Linked DNA regions of Tribolium castaneum. The protein of the gene in region 3 purifies or fractionates together with the protein of the main gene of each other region. This does not show direct contact. Links are inferred from orthologs where the notes say so. Each region holds a gene or a part of one and is shown on either strand. Other genes may lie near its edges.

Region 1 (6,234 bases), on a different chromosome or scaffold from region 3:
GCCCCCTCAATTTATACAAAACTTGCCCATTGCCTGGACAAATTACATGAGCAAAAAGTATTTTTTATGCGCAAACTTACGACGCAAATCGGCCACGATCACCACACCGTTATTTAGTCCAAAGGCCATGAGCCAGCCGGCATGGGGGCACGACGAAAGACAAGTCAGAGTGACTTTACTTTTGAATAAATCTACCAAAGGCTTGGACTCATTCGTGTTGATATTCCAGACGTGTACAAAACCGGTCGATGACGCACTTACGACGCGATCATCACCCGCAAAAACGGCCCCAATTACGGGGTTTTTGTGTTCCTATCATCATTATCTCATTGTGCTTTCCTTAAAAATACCAGACTTACCACATGATCCCTATTCGACGTTTTCTTCTCGAAGGTATCCAAGTCCCACACCTTCATCACGCTGTCTTCCCCCAGGGACACCACGTACGAATGGGGCTCCTTCCATCTCCTGTTCAAACTAACGGAAGTGAGACTGAAACATCAATTGTAGAAAAACGGCCAAGAAACGTAAAACTCAAGTACAGTTTAGAGTGAGCCGAATGAATCAATTTCACTTCGGCCGGTTCTTCGGGGCCTTTTTCCCTAACGATAACAATATCGCTTTTTGCGCCATACACCAAGGTATTGTCAGGGGCACACGCCAACACTGAACTCCTGTACCAAAGGGGCGCAGGAGGAACAGCTAACTCGTTCATCTCACCAAATTATTCAACAACTGAACAAGTAACTTTTAAAACGCATTTACACGTTATTTTCACATGTGGTTGGGCGAGTTTGTGCACTGAACAAGACGTCTGAACCGGAGAATGTTCACCCGTCCGAAATTAATTGAAGTTAGCACCATAAACATTACAGTCGACCAGACAATCCCTGCACGCATTTCCACCATTTCCCACCATTCTCGTTTTCTACAGCCAAGTTCTGTTACAAATTAAAGCTTAACTCATCCAAAAATTACCGAAAAAAGTTATTGGTCGTTACCTGATTATTTGTTACATTCTGGTAATTTTTGCGAGTCGATTTAATTTATTTAATGTTTCGCCACCCTTTTAACTTACGCTGTTGGACGTTTGACAACTGTCACGTGGCCATGCAGGAAAAATGTCAACAGTAATGTCACACGTCACTGTTCTTTTAACACAAAGTTAGATCTATTTCGCAAAAATACTTCTATAAATCTATCATTTTCTGTAATAATGGAGTTTAAAGTGTTTACTTTGAATTGCTGGTAAGCTGTCATGTGATTTATGTTACAAAATTGCACAAAATTCTTAGGGGCCTTGCGGTGGTCTCCAAGAACCGAAGACACCGAATGCAGGCAATAGCTGAGAAGTTGGCGACTAGCCAGTACGATGTAGTTTGCCTCCAAGAGATATGGCTTGACTCTGACTACCAGTTAATCAGAAACAAAGTCTCAGGGGTGTTACCATACTCTCACTATTTTTACAGGTAAATTCAAAAATTCAGTTGAAACAAGCGTAAAGGTGAGTTGTAGCGGAGTCACGGGCTCTGGCGTTTGTATTTTATCGCGACACCCGATGGAGGACGTTTTTTTCCACCAATGGCCAGTAAATGGTTACATTCATAAAATCCACCATGGTGACTGGTTTGGTGGAAAGGGCGTGGGTTTATGTAAATTAAAGGTGAACAATTACACCGTCAACGTCTACTCTGCACATGTAAGATTTATTTTGCTTGATGAACAACACAAAGAGTAATAATTTTAGTTGCACGCAGAATACGACCGAAATTGTGATGAATACCAAGCTCACAGAGTGCTCCAATCTTTCGATACCGCTCAATTTATCCAAATGACGTCTGGAGACGCCGACCTAGTAGTCCTGGCCGGGGACTTAAATACCGAACCTGGAGATTTAGCCTACAGGATAATGTTGAGTGTTCCGGGACTTGTAGATGCGTTTGGTGAAGCTGGAGAAACGGTGCAGAATTGTGTGGCGACAAATGAAAGCCTCACTAATAGTTACACACCCGTGGCCTTACTCAAGAAAAACATTCCTGGCAAAAGAATCGACTATATCATGTATCATCCAGGCTCAAGTTTACAAATCGATTTAAAAAGCTACACATTGCCGTTACCACACAAAATCCCCGGATGTGCGTACAGTTACTCGGACCATGAAGCAATCGCTGCGACTTTAATCGTCACAAAGAGCGAGATAAGGTCGCTGAAAAGCGACCAACACATGAAGAAAACTGTCCTTGAAGAGAGCATAGAAATCTGTGATGACGCACTCAGGGGCTTGAATAACCATAAATATTTGTACTGGTTTTTTACGTTCGTTTTAATCGTGTTGCTGGTTACGACACTTGCAACTGACCTACCTTTCGGCTACAATCTGAATTTTATTTACCACATTTTGAAAATTTTAATCACCCTTTTTATGTTTTACACTTTGATGATGGCAACTATCTGGAATAAAATCGAACGTCATGCTGTGATTGCGGGCAAGTTGGGAATGGAGACAGCTTTGAGGAAATTAAAAGCCAAAGATTTGTAATTATATCAGGGCCAAAACAAGCTCAGTATTTTAAATCAAAGACCAACACCTGTTGCTCATTTTTTATTTGGTTTGTACGACTGTGATCGTTTCTGTACCACTGGTGAATAAAGTTTTCATTTTTTAACTGTTTGTACTTTTTTTCCCCGCCTATTTTTGAACTGAGCGCAACTTTGCCATCTGTTTGACGCTGATTGGTCGGCGAATTTGTGTTTATTCTCTTCATAAATGCGGTGTATTACGTGGTGTTCAAGAACTACAATAAAAATAATCTGATAATAAATGAAATACAGCCTAAGTAAACACCAATTTGAGTTAAGACTGTGGTGCTGAAGCTAGTGTTGTAAGAGTGCTGTGTAAAACTACTTCCGGATTTTGAGGTTAGGTATGTCATTTTATTTTGTCGGTCTCTAGAATTTTAATTATTTCATCGTGAAGTCGGCTTTTTTGTGCATTTTGTAGTAATAGCGTGTCGATAGTTGGGTAAGAGAGTGCGTTTTTGTCGATATTTGGCGTAATTTCGTAACTAATCGATTGGGAAGTGCGTTCACTAACCTTTCAGGTTAATTTTTTAAATTGGATTAGTCCCTGACTTATATTAGTAAATACTGCTTCCGTTTCGTCATCCTGTAATCACGACACATAATTAGTGCCCGGTTTGGTTTGCAGGACAATATATGATCACAAAATGCTTAGAAGTCTCGTTCCGGCAGTAATCACGTTATTGTTGATATTTTCGGCGGTAAAATGTGACGAAGTGGACGATTCTGACGAGGCTACTGTGGAAGTAGAACCGGAAGAATCACACATTGATATCCCCTACGAAAGTCCGAGCCCCCTTGACCCGAAAAAGGTCTATTTCGCCGAGCATTTCGACGATCCAGACCAGTTTGCGAAACGTTGGATAAAATCCCAAGCGAAGAAAGAAGGGATTTCCGAAGACATCGCAAAATACGACGGTGAATGGCAACTTGAACCAACCCAAAAAGACAGTCTAGTGGGCGACAAAGGTTTAGTGCTTAAATCAAAGGCTAAACACGCTGCTATTGCCTCCTCTCTCCTAAAACCGTTTATTTTTGATACTAAACCATTAATCGTGCAATATGAAGTAATATTCCAAGACGGCCAAGAATGTGGCGGAGCCTACTTGAAGCTGCTCACCCAGGACTCCGCCAGTAAAAACTTGAACAACTTCCACGATAAAACCCCCTACTCGATCATGTTCGGCCCCGACAAGTGCGGTAACGACCACAAGCTCCACTTTATCTTCAAGCACCGCAACCCTCTCAACGGGAGCGTCGAGGAAAAGCATTGCAAAAAACCCAAAGACCGCATTGAGGAAGTCTTCTCCGACAAACTCCCCCACTTGTTCACCCTTGTCCTGCACCCTGACAACACCTTCGAGATCCTAATCGACAACAAAGTGGTCAATTCGGGAAGTTTGCTTGAGGATTTCACCCCGGCAGTGAATCCTCCGAAAGAAATTGACGATCCTAATGACAAGAAACCTGAGGATTGGGATGAAAGGGAGAAAATCCCTGACCCAGATGCCGTGAAACCTGACGATTGGGATGAGGATGCGCCGGCTCAGATTGTTGATGAATCAGCGGTGAAACCGGAAGGTTGGCTGGATAATGAACCGTCGCATGTTTTCGATCCTGATGCAAAGAAACCAGAAGATTGGGATTCGGAAATGGACGGGGAGTGGGAACCACCGCTTATTGATAATCCCGCTTGTAAGGATGCTGTCGGGTGTGGGCCTTGGGAGCCCCCACTTATCAATAATCCCGATTATAAGGGGAAGTGGAGGGCGCCGCTTATCGATAATCCTAATTATAAGGGGAAGTGGAGGCCCAGGAGGATCCCCAATCCCGAGTTCTTCGAAGATAAGCATCCCTTTAAAATGCAGACTGTTGTAAGTAAATGGTTAAAAAATTATCTTGTTTATGTAACTGTAATTATTGGTGCCGATATGTTTACATTATTTTTTCTTCTTGTTCAAATTTATCAGTTGATTTTGTACACTATTAGAACATAGTTTACAAATCTGCAGTCAAAATTTGGCTGTCAGCTCTAGTTTCCTCTCCAGTTTCCAGAATTTGTGAAAAGTATATTTCGATATGCTTTGTACAAAAATAACAAATTCTGAGCTTCTAATTTTGTTAGCAATTTTTTTAGAGTGCCTAGGACAGTGAGAAAATGGTAAAAGAATTGCCTCTTGATAAAATTGAGCCAACTTGAAATTGACACATTTATTTTTGCGATTTTTTTTTATTATCTTTGGTTTTTGGCAGAATTGTAGTTGTTTAATTTCCATATTTTTACCGAAACTGCGTATTTGATTATTGCATTGTTGCCTTCAACAAAACATGTTGCAAAAAAGAATTGTTTGTGTCACTACAAAAGGATTTAGTTGCTATGTGAGATATGCTAACTAAGGAAGTAATATATACTTAGCCACACCCAATCGTTTTTATGCTTATTTTGGCGAATTTGCGTTCGTATTGTGATAAAAATGTTTTGTAAACCTAAATAAAGAATTGTATTTTTGCAATTCATTCAAGATTAATTTATCTTTGGACAAATAACTTTTTTCAGACCGCTGTTGGATTTGAGTTATGGTCAATGTCAAAGGACATTTTCTTCGACAATATTATTATTACCGACGATATTACCGTTGCGAACCATTGGGCAGACGCCACTTTTGAAAAAAAGAAGCAAAAGATCGCCAAGGATTCGGTTAGTATCTGTTTAATTTAAATGAATTTTATTATATTTGTGATTTTTTACTAAATAAGAGGACACTGTGGGGTCGTCTTATGAAAAAGTTAAACTATAAACCTGTACCGTGGTTCTTATATTTCGTTTATTGCGCCATACCGGTTTGTTGTTACATATGGTACCTCTACTTCTGCATTCAAGAGGTATTTTCGTACTGCTAGTTATAGTTTTCTTTGTTTTGACATAGGAAAGCGTAATTCAAAAATTAGCTACCTTGACCAATGATTACCCTTGGCTTTGGGGAGTATACATTATCGTACTAGGCATCCCTGTTGTTTTTGTATTATACCTTTGCTGCAAGCCTGGATCCTCTGCTAGTCAAATTCAGGTATTTTGGCTATTGCATTAAATTTTGCGGTGTTAATAAGTGACAATGACAGGAGAAAGAGGAGCTTCGACAAGCAGCGCAACATAAAAAGACTGACGAAACGACTGAAGATGTTGTAGAAGAAGAAGGTAAAGAAGAAGAAGAAGATGAAGTAGAAGCTGAAAATGCAGAAGACGACGATAGAGAAAAGAATTCAGGGCCTGATTCCGACGAAGAAGAGGAATCAGAGGAAAAAACAGAGGTGAGATTCAGTCGTTAAAATTAAAATTGGGTTTATCATGTTCTCGCAGGAACAGTCATCCAAAGGTGCAGGTGACGGCGCGAGGAAACGAAAAGTTCGTAAGGAGTGATAGTAATTTTTGTATAACTTGCACCAGCACTGTTTTCATCATGCAATCCTGCAGTTGTATTTATTTACGATTGTTTGTTTTTTTGCTGTACATTATTCGTTCCATTTTTCCTTAGGAAATTTGTTCTTTTTGAAAGAATAGTATAATTGTAGTTGTTACGTTTTCGAATAAAGTATTTGACAGCGGTTCATTTTACTGTATTTGTAAATAATCAAACGGAGGGCTTAAGGGAAAGG
Region 2 (5,090 bases), on a different chromosome or scaffold from region 3:
TCGGAAGGAAGCGCTCATTATGCGCACGGCGCATATGACGCGTCAAGCTCGACATGTGGATGAACTTTTCGCTACAATGGGTGCAAGATTTGGGCTTGGCATCGTGGATTTCCTTATGCCAGGCGAGCTTTTTCTTCGAGTGGAACACCTCTTTGCAGAAACAGATGTAATCCTTGACCTTCTTTTTGATATTGAGGTGGTGCCGGTTCCGGTGCTGCACTAAATTGGAGTGCCGGCGGAACGTTTCGTCACACAGGGGACACTTGATCGGGGCTTCGCCCGTGTGGATGTTCCTGTGTTCGAACAGTTTTTGTTTCGTGAGAAATGCTTTCTGGCACACGTCACACTTGAAGGGTTTTATGCCCAAATGGCGCCTCATATGGAGCTGGATGTTCTGTCTCCGGTAGAACAAGCGTCCACATATTTTACATTCTAGGGGATGTATTCGCAAATGTATGGAAAACTTGTAATCATTCGGGAACAATTCGCCACAAGTTATACATTTGTGGCGCGACAGTGCTGTAATTTTGTGGACGCTTATTTTATGCTCCTTCAGTGCTTTGGCATTTTTCAGTACGCAGCCACAGATCGGACAAACCGATTTCAATTCGGTCGGCATTTGTGGTGTTGTGGCGATTGGATCGGTTTGTGCTTCGGGCGTTTCCGCTTCGCTTGGAGTTTCCATTTTGAGTTTGTTCGTAAAAACGAAGTTGTTCTCGCTTTCGGGCTTTTCAGTTTTGAGTTTAACGACGAGTTTTTTGACTTTTTTCTTGTCAAGTTCGCTGCCGATTCGATTAAGTTTGCGTTTTTCGGGATGTTTTTCCGCCTCGTGTTCTTTCCTCTCTCTGAGACAGCTGAACGCTTCGTCACATTTCGAACATTTGAAGTTGAGAGGAGGTCCGGTGAAGCTGACTATAGTGGGGCTGTCGTCGTCCTCCTCGGGATAGGTCACGTGTGAGGGGATGCGACTTTGAAGGGGGGGCACTTCGACGTCGGAACTGTCGGAAGCCTCCCAGTTTTCGCGCGTTAGGAGGTCGTACGAGGTGGACATCCCTGAGCTGCCTTCGTTATATTGCACCCGGTTCCAGGTGATATCACTGGAGCCCCCTAGACTCTCCTGACCGGAGAGCTCGCCCCTCGGGGGCATACGCTCGTCGGCTCGGATGTTAACATTCGAGCTCTCCCGAGACATGCTCTCTTCCGCATCTCTCTGATCCAGAAAATCATCTTTAGCACTATCAACCATCCCGCCGATCGTCATTAAAACTCCCGACCGGTCAGGAGCGATACCTTCAAAATTTTCAACCTGAGATATAATCTGATTGCCCGCAAACTCATTTATATCATTAATTACCATCTGGACTCCGTTCATATCAACGAAGTCTAGCTGGTCAGACTGCAAAATATTCGAAGCCGTGTAAATCGGGTTCTGGCCCAATTCCACCGAAGTGTAATTCGGATTCTCGTTCTCGTTCACAAAATAAAACTCGGAATCGGCCTGTTTCGGCTCAGTCTCATCCGAAACGTCCTCTTCCGAGGTCAAGTTGTTGTTCTGCGTCTGACAGGCTTTATTCAACTCGCCGCTCTCGGAGTCCGGACTCGGGGGCCCTTCCTGTGCGTTAAAACCCTCCTCAATTTCATACACATTCAAATCCAAACTATTATTGATCTGCTCCTGCATATCGCAGTCGATTTTAATCGAATCACTCAGCGTCTCGCTCGCATCTTCGTCAATCTCCTCGATTTTCTTCGGCGAGTCGCGTTCGTTCTCGGGCTCCTCCGTGATGCTGCAGTCCTGTGACGACGTCGACGGCAACTCAAACGGCAGCGTCCGCATGGGGGAAACACAGGAGCCGCTTGACATGATCAGCTGTTGCTGGTAGATGTAGGGCATCATTTGCGGGTTCAAAATCGTGGGAATGACGTATTGCGATGGCACGTTTTGGGGCGAGGCGGTCGTGCTGCTCATGCTCTGCTGGTAGATGAAGACGTGGTTGCCCTGCAGGGGGGGCATGTTGACCAAGCCGCCCTGGTTCCAGCTCTGGTTCACCACGGCGGTGTGGGTGGTGGAGGCGCCAGGGTCGGGCTGGGAGGAGGGGTTGCCGATTTTTTCCACATCTCCGGTCTCCGACAGCCGGACCAGAGCCTCGATCACCTTCTGCTTGGGATGGCTGCTCAAGTGGGTCTTTAGGGTTATGCCCGGTCTGAGATACAATGTACAGACAGGACAGGATATGTTGCTCGTGTCCATTTTTATTGCAACTGATTGGAATTCACACAAGTTGCTCAGCTGTACACTCCTCTGACTAGGTTATTGATCTGTTATAACAAAATCAATGATGAGAACTCAACAACGGCTAAATCAGAGGAGATAACGCGGTTTAAGCCTTTTTCGAACGTGGGGCCTTGCTGGCTTTTGGAGCGATAAGCGAATTACTGATATTTTCGAGCGAATAAACAAAAAATATCACAAAACATAAGAACCAGTTTCTTGGTATTGCGAGACGGGGGATTGATTTTTCAAAAGACTCACCTTTTCCGGGTTAAAACGGCATTTTGAGGAGGCGGCAGATACACCAATTTTCCGAAAAATTAAAGTTTTTTGAGATTTTAATCAGTAAACCAAGAAATTTCAGTCAGCCATCATGATTGACAAAGAACTAGGGTTTTCACAGAAGTGCCGAGCGGTTGCCGACACTGACTGTCGAATAAATCAAAAAGTGACGTGTGTTCATTAAAACAACTCGAATAATTAAGATATAATTGATCATTTAGAAATGTTAGAGTAACGATTTTATCGTAATTGAAGAACTTCCAGCGATTAAGCATCATGGCAAACTTAAACAGTTCGTATTACCTGATTTAAAAATCAATAAATCAGCAATATTGCAAATTGTAGGTATTCTTGAAAGATTACGACTTTGGCGAGAGAACAACGACCGTAAAAGTCGCAAAATCGTCGAATATTGGATCACCGAACTCGAATCAAATATTCAAAAGTTGGGGAGAGAAAGTACGACATTTTTAATCTCTACCAAACATTAAACATTGCACATTTCAGAAGCCCTAATTTTAGAGCAAGTTTGCATAGCTGCTCTCGACTGCAACGAGTTCACTATCGCTAAAAAATGCCTCAAGGAGTTGCATAAAGATTTCCCCAATAGTCTAAGGGTGAGAAAATACGAGGCCATGCTTTTTGAAGCCCAGGAAAAGTACGAAGACGCTATTAAAATCTTGGACGACATAATCAAAGTCGATGAGACCAACAGTGGTGCCAAAAAACGCAAAATTGCAATTCTGAAAGCCCAGGGCAAGACCGTTGAGGCGATCAAAGAACTGGCAGACTATTTGAAAATGTAATTATTTCATGGCGAAAAACACTGTGATTAACATTTTTTGTAGTTTTATGGCCGACGGTGAGGCCTGGCAGGAGCTCAGTGAACTTTACATAACTGAGCAGGATTTCCAAAAGGCCGCTTTTTGCGTGGAAGAATTGATTTTACACAACCCCCACAATCACTTATTGCATCAGCGTTACGCCGATATAAAGTACACGCAAGGTGGTTTGGAAAACATTGAATTAGCGCGCTCTTACTACTGCCAAGCGATTAAACTGAATCCGAAAAACGTGAGAGCCCTTTACGGCCTTTACATTGCGACTACTGCTATTGCCACTTCAGCAAAATGTTCATCACAGAAGAAGAAAGAGGCGCAGAAGCTGTCAGAGTGGGCACTGAACGAGATTCAAAACCAGTACAAACACTCCAACATTGACGATATTGAGGATAGGCTTGGGGCATTGCAAATTAATTAGGAATAACACTTGTAAGGGTATTAAAAATACAGCACGTTTTCCCAAATATATTAACAAAAAATGAATTTACTACAACCAACAATGCCTTACGACCACTGTCTGATATAAGCCCTATCTCTGAAGTCCTTCATGGGGGCATGCACGTAATACCCTTGCATCATGGGTTCAATCAACTTGTCCTTATCAAACGATTTAAACAAGGGCTCTCCGTAATACGTCCCGACTTCCCATCCCTCAACATTCGCCATCAACTTGGCTTCCTCGTCCCGATTTCGCCTCAACTGTTTCAAGTATTCGCGGTCTCGCTCCGCAAGCAACAAGGGGAAAATAGCGAAACGACCGGACCTCATCTCAATTTCGTTAGCTTGCACTTGTTTACAGTTCAAGTAGTAGAGGTAGCTTGCGGCTGCGGTCATTCCGAGATAGCCCCCGAAAAGGGCCCAACCTAAAGTGGGGTTAAATTATTACATAACAGTAAAGCACGTTTAGTGGAAGTGGCACTAAAAGAGCAATGACCTACCGCTGAAGTACGATCTTGCGGGGACTCTCTTGAAGTTTATGGGCCTGTAGCCCCCAGACGGGGGCATATCCTGCTTTTTTGCCGCAGCCGTGGCCATTTTTATTGACAACAAACAGCTGTTTGGCAGGGCGACATCTATTGATTTGGGTACAGTTTCCTGTACTTCGACTTAGCTAATTGCGCAGTGTTTCATTATTTTTGCTAAAAATTTTAACTGTGACGAAACGCCCGCATTAAAATATAGTTTGGGGGCGAATTTTGGTTAAATTGAGTCGATGGTTTGGCTGTTTTACGCGACCAAATTTTCCGTGCCGCTAGATGGCGGCGTAAAATTTCTCAAAATCATGTGGCAATGGACATATTTGACGATTTGATAAGAAATTGTGATGGTGTCAAAACATATTTGTGAAATTAACCATGATAGAAAAATGAGTTGTGTGGCCGTTCGGTATTTGGAATCACTAATCGAGTTCAAAGGAAGTTTGTTCAATTCTTGACCGGGGTAGCAACATGAGTTGAAATGAAGAAGGTTAAAAATTCTACCGATATCCACCAAAAGCAGGGCCTTGAGCAGTCTAAAAAGTTGTACAGGTGGGTACAGCCCGTGGCCCTGCACATGTCTAGCCCCCTTTTGTAGATCTACAACCGAGCAGGCAAAACGTTTAGATGACGCTCGCAGCTGCGCCCGGACCATCAGCGACCTATTCACCCCCAACTTGCAAATCCAACGGCGGAAATTCTGCGAGTTCTGCGAAC
Region 3 (5,484 bases):
GTCACCACTAGCATTCACTCGTACTAGTTTTAATAAAAGAAGAAAGCAGTCTCTGTTTTTTATTTATTTGAAAAAAATGTCATTAAACATTACAGCAAAAGAAATTTTCTATAGATGAAACCACAGATACAGGGATAAAAACCTACCGATAACAGTTTTGTAAATTTGAAAATAGTAGTCAAAGTAGAGATCATTAAAACACCACCGTTGAAATTTAGACGCAAAATGTACGAGTAGGTAACATCTACAGGATTGTTTAACATAGTCGCAATTTTTAGCAAGAAAGGGACGAAAATGCAAAATATTCCTGAATGTGGCAGAAGACAGAAATCAATCACATAAAGGGTAGGTCTGGTAGTTGCAATATGCTTTTAACAAAGAAAAGAAAAGAATGTAGAAGTAGGTTTAACTTTATAAATTACAATACAATAAATTACAGGAACAGTATGCTTTATTTTTTCCATATAATCTCCTCCTTTCATTATTTTTTTGCGTGAAGCTAATTTTTTGTGTACTTATTACACCACTGTTCTTATACGTGCAGTCATTTCTCTTTTAGAAAGGATTTAATTCTGTATTTAGACACAATTAAGGCAGTGATATACCTACGTATGTGCTGAGGAACCTGAGGTTCCTAATAAGGCGTTTAAAGAAGAAATGTGGATAACACTAGTGGATTCAAAATCCATAAAGTCTTTTAGGAAACCTTCAACATACACGTAAATTTTTTACCGAAATGTTTAGGTACAAAACAATAAATAAACAAAATCTGTGGATATTCAGATGAGCTACTGCCAGTTTTTTTCAATAAAATTTTTACTAGGGCACCAAGTAAGGTCGTTTAAAAAACAAGGTTTATTTATTGCCTGATTTTAATGTTTACAATAGCCATTCAATAAAATTATTGAATGAGTCCAAAAATTCAAAGTGATTGGTTGCTAACGTTATTATAATGGCCGACCATAAATGTACCAATCATATCCGAAAATATAATTTTTCAATGAATCCAAAAATCTAAAGTGATTGGTTTTCTCCGTAATTTTAATGGCCGACCCCAAACCGTCCAATCAAAATGCTTACAAATTTTACAACAATCTTTACGTGGCTTACGTTAATTCATAAAACATGAGTCTGTCTTTGTTGCCTGTCACATCTTCAGTCTTTCATGAATTCACCCTCAGAGGTAATCTTGGACGATCTACTAGATGAAAATGCAAAAATTGGGATAATGGGAGGAAATAAATAAGGAATATTATATTGAAGCTCTTTTATATTTGCTATGAGTTGTAATATCAGTTAAAAAGTTTCAATTGACGAATTCTCGAAATGATCCATGTTGCGCATGCGCGCGCTCTTCAGTTTTCCAAATGACATTTCTGGAAAATCTAACAAGAAAGACGAAAAGTTGGTGGAAACTGCCCCAGAATATTCAAAAGTGATGCGAAAGGGGGTCATGGCTTAGGTAAATGGTGTTGTTTCAAAAACGGTGCTTGTGTTTTTTCCAATAATAGTGTCCACATTGTCGGCGTGCGACAAGTCGGAATTTTTTTTTATTATTATATTAAAGCTGATCGAAAATTTGTAAGTAAAAATTGGTATCATGTAAAAAAGAACTTTTTTTCGGCATTTTGATCGTTTTAGAATTGTGATTGGTTACCTACAATCTGTAATGAAAGTAGAGAAAGTTTGACTCAAAGTGAGAATTTCTAGAAAACACAATTTAAGAGGATTTTTCAAATTTTAAAACAACCAACAAGTAGATTGTTGTTTTTTAAGCCGATAAGAAAATCTTTAAAATTACACCTCCACAGAGGTAGACCTAATTGCGATCGAAAAATTGAGTGAACGAGAGACCCCCACATAAAAAATAATCGCCAATTATTTTTTATTAGCCATAAATACTGATAGTTTTCGACAAAGAGGCCCAAAGTATATCCAGATTCGGGGCGGATACTTAATCCGCCTCTGAGAAAACAGGTAAAAAAAACACGAAAATATTTTATAAAATTTATTAACAGTAACAGTATGGCCTTAAATAAGTAAAATAAAATTGGTACATATCCTAGTTCACTCCTAGTCCCGAGTCAAACAAAACACCCGACTCTCTCCCCCTTTAAGCCCTTAATTCGAGGGCGTAGGCACATTGAGCAACAGATTTTGCCCCCCTGGCAAATACGACACTTGCCTCGACCTCGACAATTGATACGCGATATCCTCCGCAGCCTCAATCCTCCTCAACTCCACCAACCCCTCTCCGGCATCCCCAAACGCCTTCGCCAGCAACGTAGCCGCCTGAGCATCCCCTTCTGCCGAAATCACCGCCGCCTTCTTATTCTGCTCCGCCTTCTCCACCAAAAACCTGGCCTTCTCCGCCTCCTGCTGCGCCACCTGCTTCAGCTCCACCGCAAGAGTAAACTCCCGTCCAAACGTCAAATGCGTGATGGAAATATCGTCCAGGATGACCCCAAACTGCGACGCCCTCTCCGTGAGGTCCTCGCTGACCTTCTGCGAGACGAGGTCACGCTGTGTGATGAGCTCCCCGGCGTCGAACTGCGCCACCACGGCCTTGAGCACCTCGGTGGTGATGGAAGGGAGGACGCGCTCTTCGTAGTCCTGCCCCAGGACGGTGTAAATGCGCGGGAGTTGGTCGGGGACGGGGCGGAACAGGATACGGAGGGTGATGTTGACGTTCTGCAAGTCCTTGCTGCCGGTGATGACCGGGACGTTGCGGGGGCGCGACCGCACGTCGAAGATGATGGGGCGTTGCACCCAGGGGATGAAGAAGTGGGTGCCTTCGCCAATCACTTGCTTCTTGATGCCGGAGAAACGGTCGAAGATCACGGCACGGTGACCACCATCGACTATCAATTAATTAATTGAGCACCAACACAAACACAATTTTTTGCTAATTTTTACCATTGTATAACGCCGAATTGACCACGCCGCCTACCAGAGCTACTCCAAGGCCAAACTGTCCAATCCTGTTGAATAATTGCGCCGCAGACATTGTTTACTTGAAAAAAAGGACTGAATGTAATGTGTGCAGGATGTAAGGTTATGTCGGATCAGTTTGGCTCATTACGCATAAAAAGCCACGTTTGGTATAAAAAACGTAATCAATATGAAAACACAACGTTGGCTAATACATTAAATATGATAAATTACCTGTAATTAACTGCAAAATGTAATAAATCAGCCGGCAAACTCACGAGTTGCTCTTTGAACAAAATGGAAGAATTGGATTTGACATTTGACAGCGTAATTGGTGACTTTACACCAACTTTGTGGAAGAAAATAACTACATTTTGAATTTTTTTATTCGTAAACTTTGAATTACATTACTAAAACCACGTAAATATCGATTCTTAACATTAATAAAGATTGAAAAAAGCATCAGAAACTTCAAATATTTAATCTTTTGCCGTCATTGTAAGAAAACAATGGTTTCTTCAGATGCCCTCTGATACCAACATTGCTAATGAAAATAACCACATTTTGAAATGTTTATTCCATTTTTTAAAAATAATATCAAAAATAGTTTTTATAATTAATTAAATTGTAGCAAATCATAAGTACAACACCACATATTTATGTTTCTTTAATTGCTATAAGAATTGATTTATTGTTTGAAAAAGTTAGTTGAATTTTTAAAACGTAATAAAAACTGTATTTTATTTTTTTTTAAACTCTCGACTCTGTAACATGTGAAGAACGACATTATTTAATCCACTAGGGTGGTATTTTTTTCAATAAAGTAATTAATTTTCATAAAAAACGTAATTTTTTTTTAATCTCTATAACACTTTTTCTCAAAAAAGTTGGCATTATTTCATCAAGATTTAACTCATTATTTGGCCCGTGTAAAAATTCACTCCGCCACGCAACCACTTTATTTTTAAATTGAGTATTTTTTGCAAATTAAAAAAAATGTAGTTATGCAACCAATATTGCAAGCCAATATTGCTAGCCCAAGCTCTAGAGGATTATTTAATTCAACAAATAACCACTTATTTTCACACTGAAATGGAAACTCGACTTGATATCTAAATTTTTACGTCAGAATCAACAGTTTAAATTTCCAACCACAAACAAAAAATTAAATTTTGTAAACAAATTACGATAAAAAGTCTATTTTACCTTTTTATCTGTTTTATAAGTTTATCTGAATGACGCTTAGTAAAGAATAAAGAGAATTACAGTTGAGAATTCTGAGAGCTACGGGTTCTGCTAAATAAAACTACCCACTTCTGTTTAATTACCATTTTTATTTTTCCCAAACAGTCGTTTAATAATCAAAGACTTACACGTTAACAGGGAATGATAAACTGCAACATTTGTACACGAATTTAACAGTCTCATCAACTGGTGATATTTTACACTAAAAATTGAAACTTATGCACATTTTTTTAATCCCTAAATCCCTAGTGAGCCTTTTCTTTTTGTGGTGTTACGTTCCAGTAATAGAGCAACTGCGCTACCAGCACCCCATTGGCAAGAGTGCTAGCAATATAGGTCAGAATGACCATCTTGTCCCCCGTCTCCTGAATCGAGGTGAAAATCCTGGCTAGAGACCCCATAAATAACATAATCAAAGTAGCCGCTGACAATTGACCTGTAGTTCCATTTTTGTAATTACTATAAGCTTGTGTCAACTTCCCGCTAACAACAATGAAAATGTTAAAACCTTGCAATGTCCATAAGACACTGATAGGGGTCAAGCCACTCATTAGAATGAAATTGACTAACAAATAAGCAACTAAATATAGAAGTGCTTTTGAGCTAGAACCCCCATAATGGAGCACCAAAACCCCAACAAGGACTGTCTGTATCGCAAGAAAGGCGGCATCGCCCCACGCACTGAACGGGAACTGTTTGAGGAAACTATAAGATGCGTAAATCGTTATTGCAGTCAAGTCCAAAGTAACACTGAGCAAACTGATGCCCTCCCCGCTTTTATTCTTGTAAATTTTGATGATTTGGGGCAGTTTTACCAAAAGTGAGCCCATAATTATGCCTAGACCTAGGCATTTGCTCAAAGTTGAAGAAAAACACGGCCCTGAAAGCACAAGTCAAGTGCATTATAACCTCACTTTTTGTACTCACCATCGAAAAAATTCAAATGAATGAAATAATTATCGTAACAGTGGGGCGTAAAAACCAATAAAAGGACTTGTCGAATGAATTCGAGCGGTTGTGAGCCCATTTTTTGTGTCTTCTTTAAAATGATGACACGTCAAGGACCGTGGTGAGGTTATGTCACGCCACTAGTGTTATTATCTGTGATTTGAGGCGATAAGAACTGAGATATTTAAATTAAATAAACGTCGTTCTCATCGTTTGCTACTGTGTTTGATAAAAAGCCACTTAATTTATGACTTTGACTTAATTTCAAATTAATGACAAATCCATAACGCACAAAATTCATAACGTAGGAATTGATAGTTTGGTGACAGTAGCGCGAAAATTCAAACGTCAAGATGAGTG

Evidence for each region.
Region 1: the proteins of Phb1 (region 3) and calnexin purify together in Homo sapiens (affinity purification with mass spectrometry; 3 studies listed by BioGRID and IntAct, with this or other methods). This does not show direct contact. The link is inferred for Tribolium castaneum from reciprocal best matches to the Homo sapiens genes PHB1 and CANX.
Region 2: the proteins of Phb1 (region 3) and ER membrane protein complex subunit 2 purify together in Homo sapiens (affinity purification with mass spectrometry; 3 studies listed by BioGRID and IntAct, with this or other methods). This does not show direct contact. The link is inferred for Tribolium castaneum from reciprocal best matches to the Homo sapiens genes PHB1 and EMC2.

Annotation. Positions count from the first base shown.
Region 1 is NC_087402.1:5,189,371-5,195,604, reverse strand, and holds the start of calnexin, read left to right. Parts: upstream 1-2,723; 5' UTR 2,724-2,919; exon of another isoform or gene 2,920-2,924; intron 2,925-2,927; exon of another isoform or gene 2,928-3,022; intron 3,023-3,208; 5' UTR 3,209-3,227; coding exon 3,228-4,454; intron 4,455-5,137; coding exon 5,138-5,278; intron 5,279-5,507; coding exon 5,508-5,648; intron 5,649-5,700; coding exon 5,701-5,889; intron 5,890-5,938; coding exon 5,939-5,998; 3' UTR 5,999-6,234. Other genes in the region: gem-associated protein 5, read right to left, coding at 1-33, 81-312, 360-492, 543-715; nSMase (putative neutral sphingomyelinase), read left to right, coding at 1,217-1,248, 1,296-1,469, 1,516-1,699, 1,748-2,539. UniProt on the Homo sapiens protein: Calcium-binding protein that interacts with newly synthesized monoglucosylated glycoproteins in the endoplasmic reticulum. It may act in assisting protein assembly and/or in the retention within the ER of unassembled protein subunits.
Region 2 is NC_087397.1:2,509,369-2,514,458, reverse strand, and holds ER membrane protein complex subunit 2, read left to right. Parts: upstream 1-2,707; 5' UTR 2,708-2,830; coding exon 2,831-2,846; intron 2,847-2,899; coding exon 2,900-3,013; intron 3,014-3,061; coding exon 3,062-3,356; intron 3,357-3,402; coding exon 3,403-3,814; 3' UTR 3,815-3,879; downstream 3,880-5,090. Other genes in the region: zinc finger protein 571, read right to left, coding at 1-2,251; ND-B16.6 (NADH dehydrogenase [ubiquinone] 1 alpha subcomplex subunit 13), read right to left, coding at 3,901-4,259, 4,335-4,431; nonsense-mediated mRNA decay factor SMG5, read left to right, coding at 4,855-4,925, 4,972-5,090. UniProt on the Homo sapiens protein: Part of the endoplasmic reticulum membrane protein complex (EMC) that enables the energy-independent insertion into endoplasmic reticulum membranes of newly synthesized membrane proteins.
Region 3 is NC_087398.1:10,074,179-10,079,662, reverse strand, and holds Phb1 (prohibitin 1), read right to left. Parts: upstream 3,300-5,484; 5' UTR 3,166-3,299; intron 3,014-3,165; 5' UTR 3,008-3,013; coding exon 2,917-3,007; intron 2,862-2,916; coding exon 2,122-2,861; 3' UTR 1,996-2,121; downstream 1-1,995. Other genes in the region: mannose-P-dolichol utilization defect 1 protein homolog, read right to left, coding at 4,422-5,056, 5,104-5,203; slv (sugar transporter SWEET1), read right to left, coding at 5,309-5,484.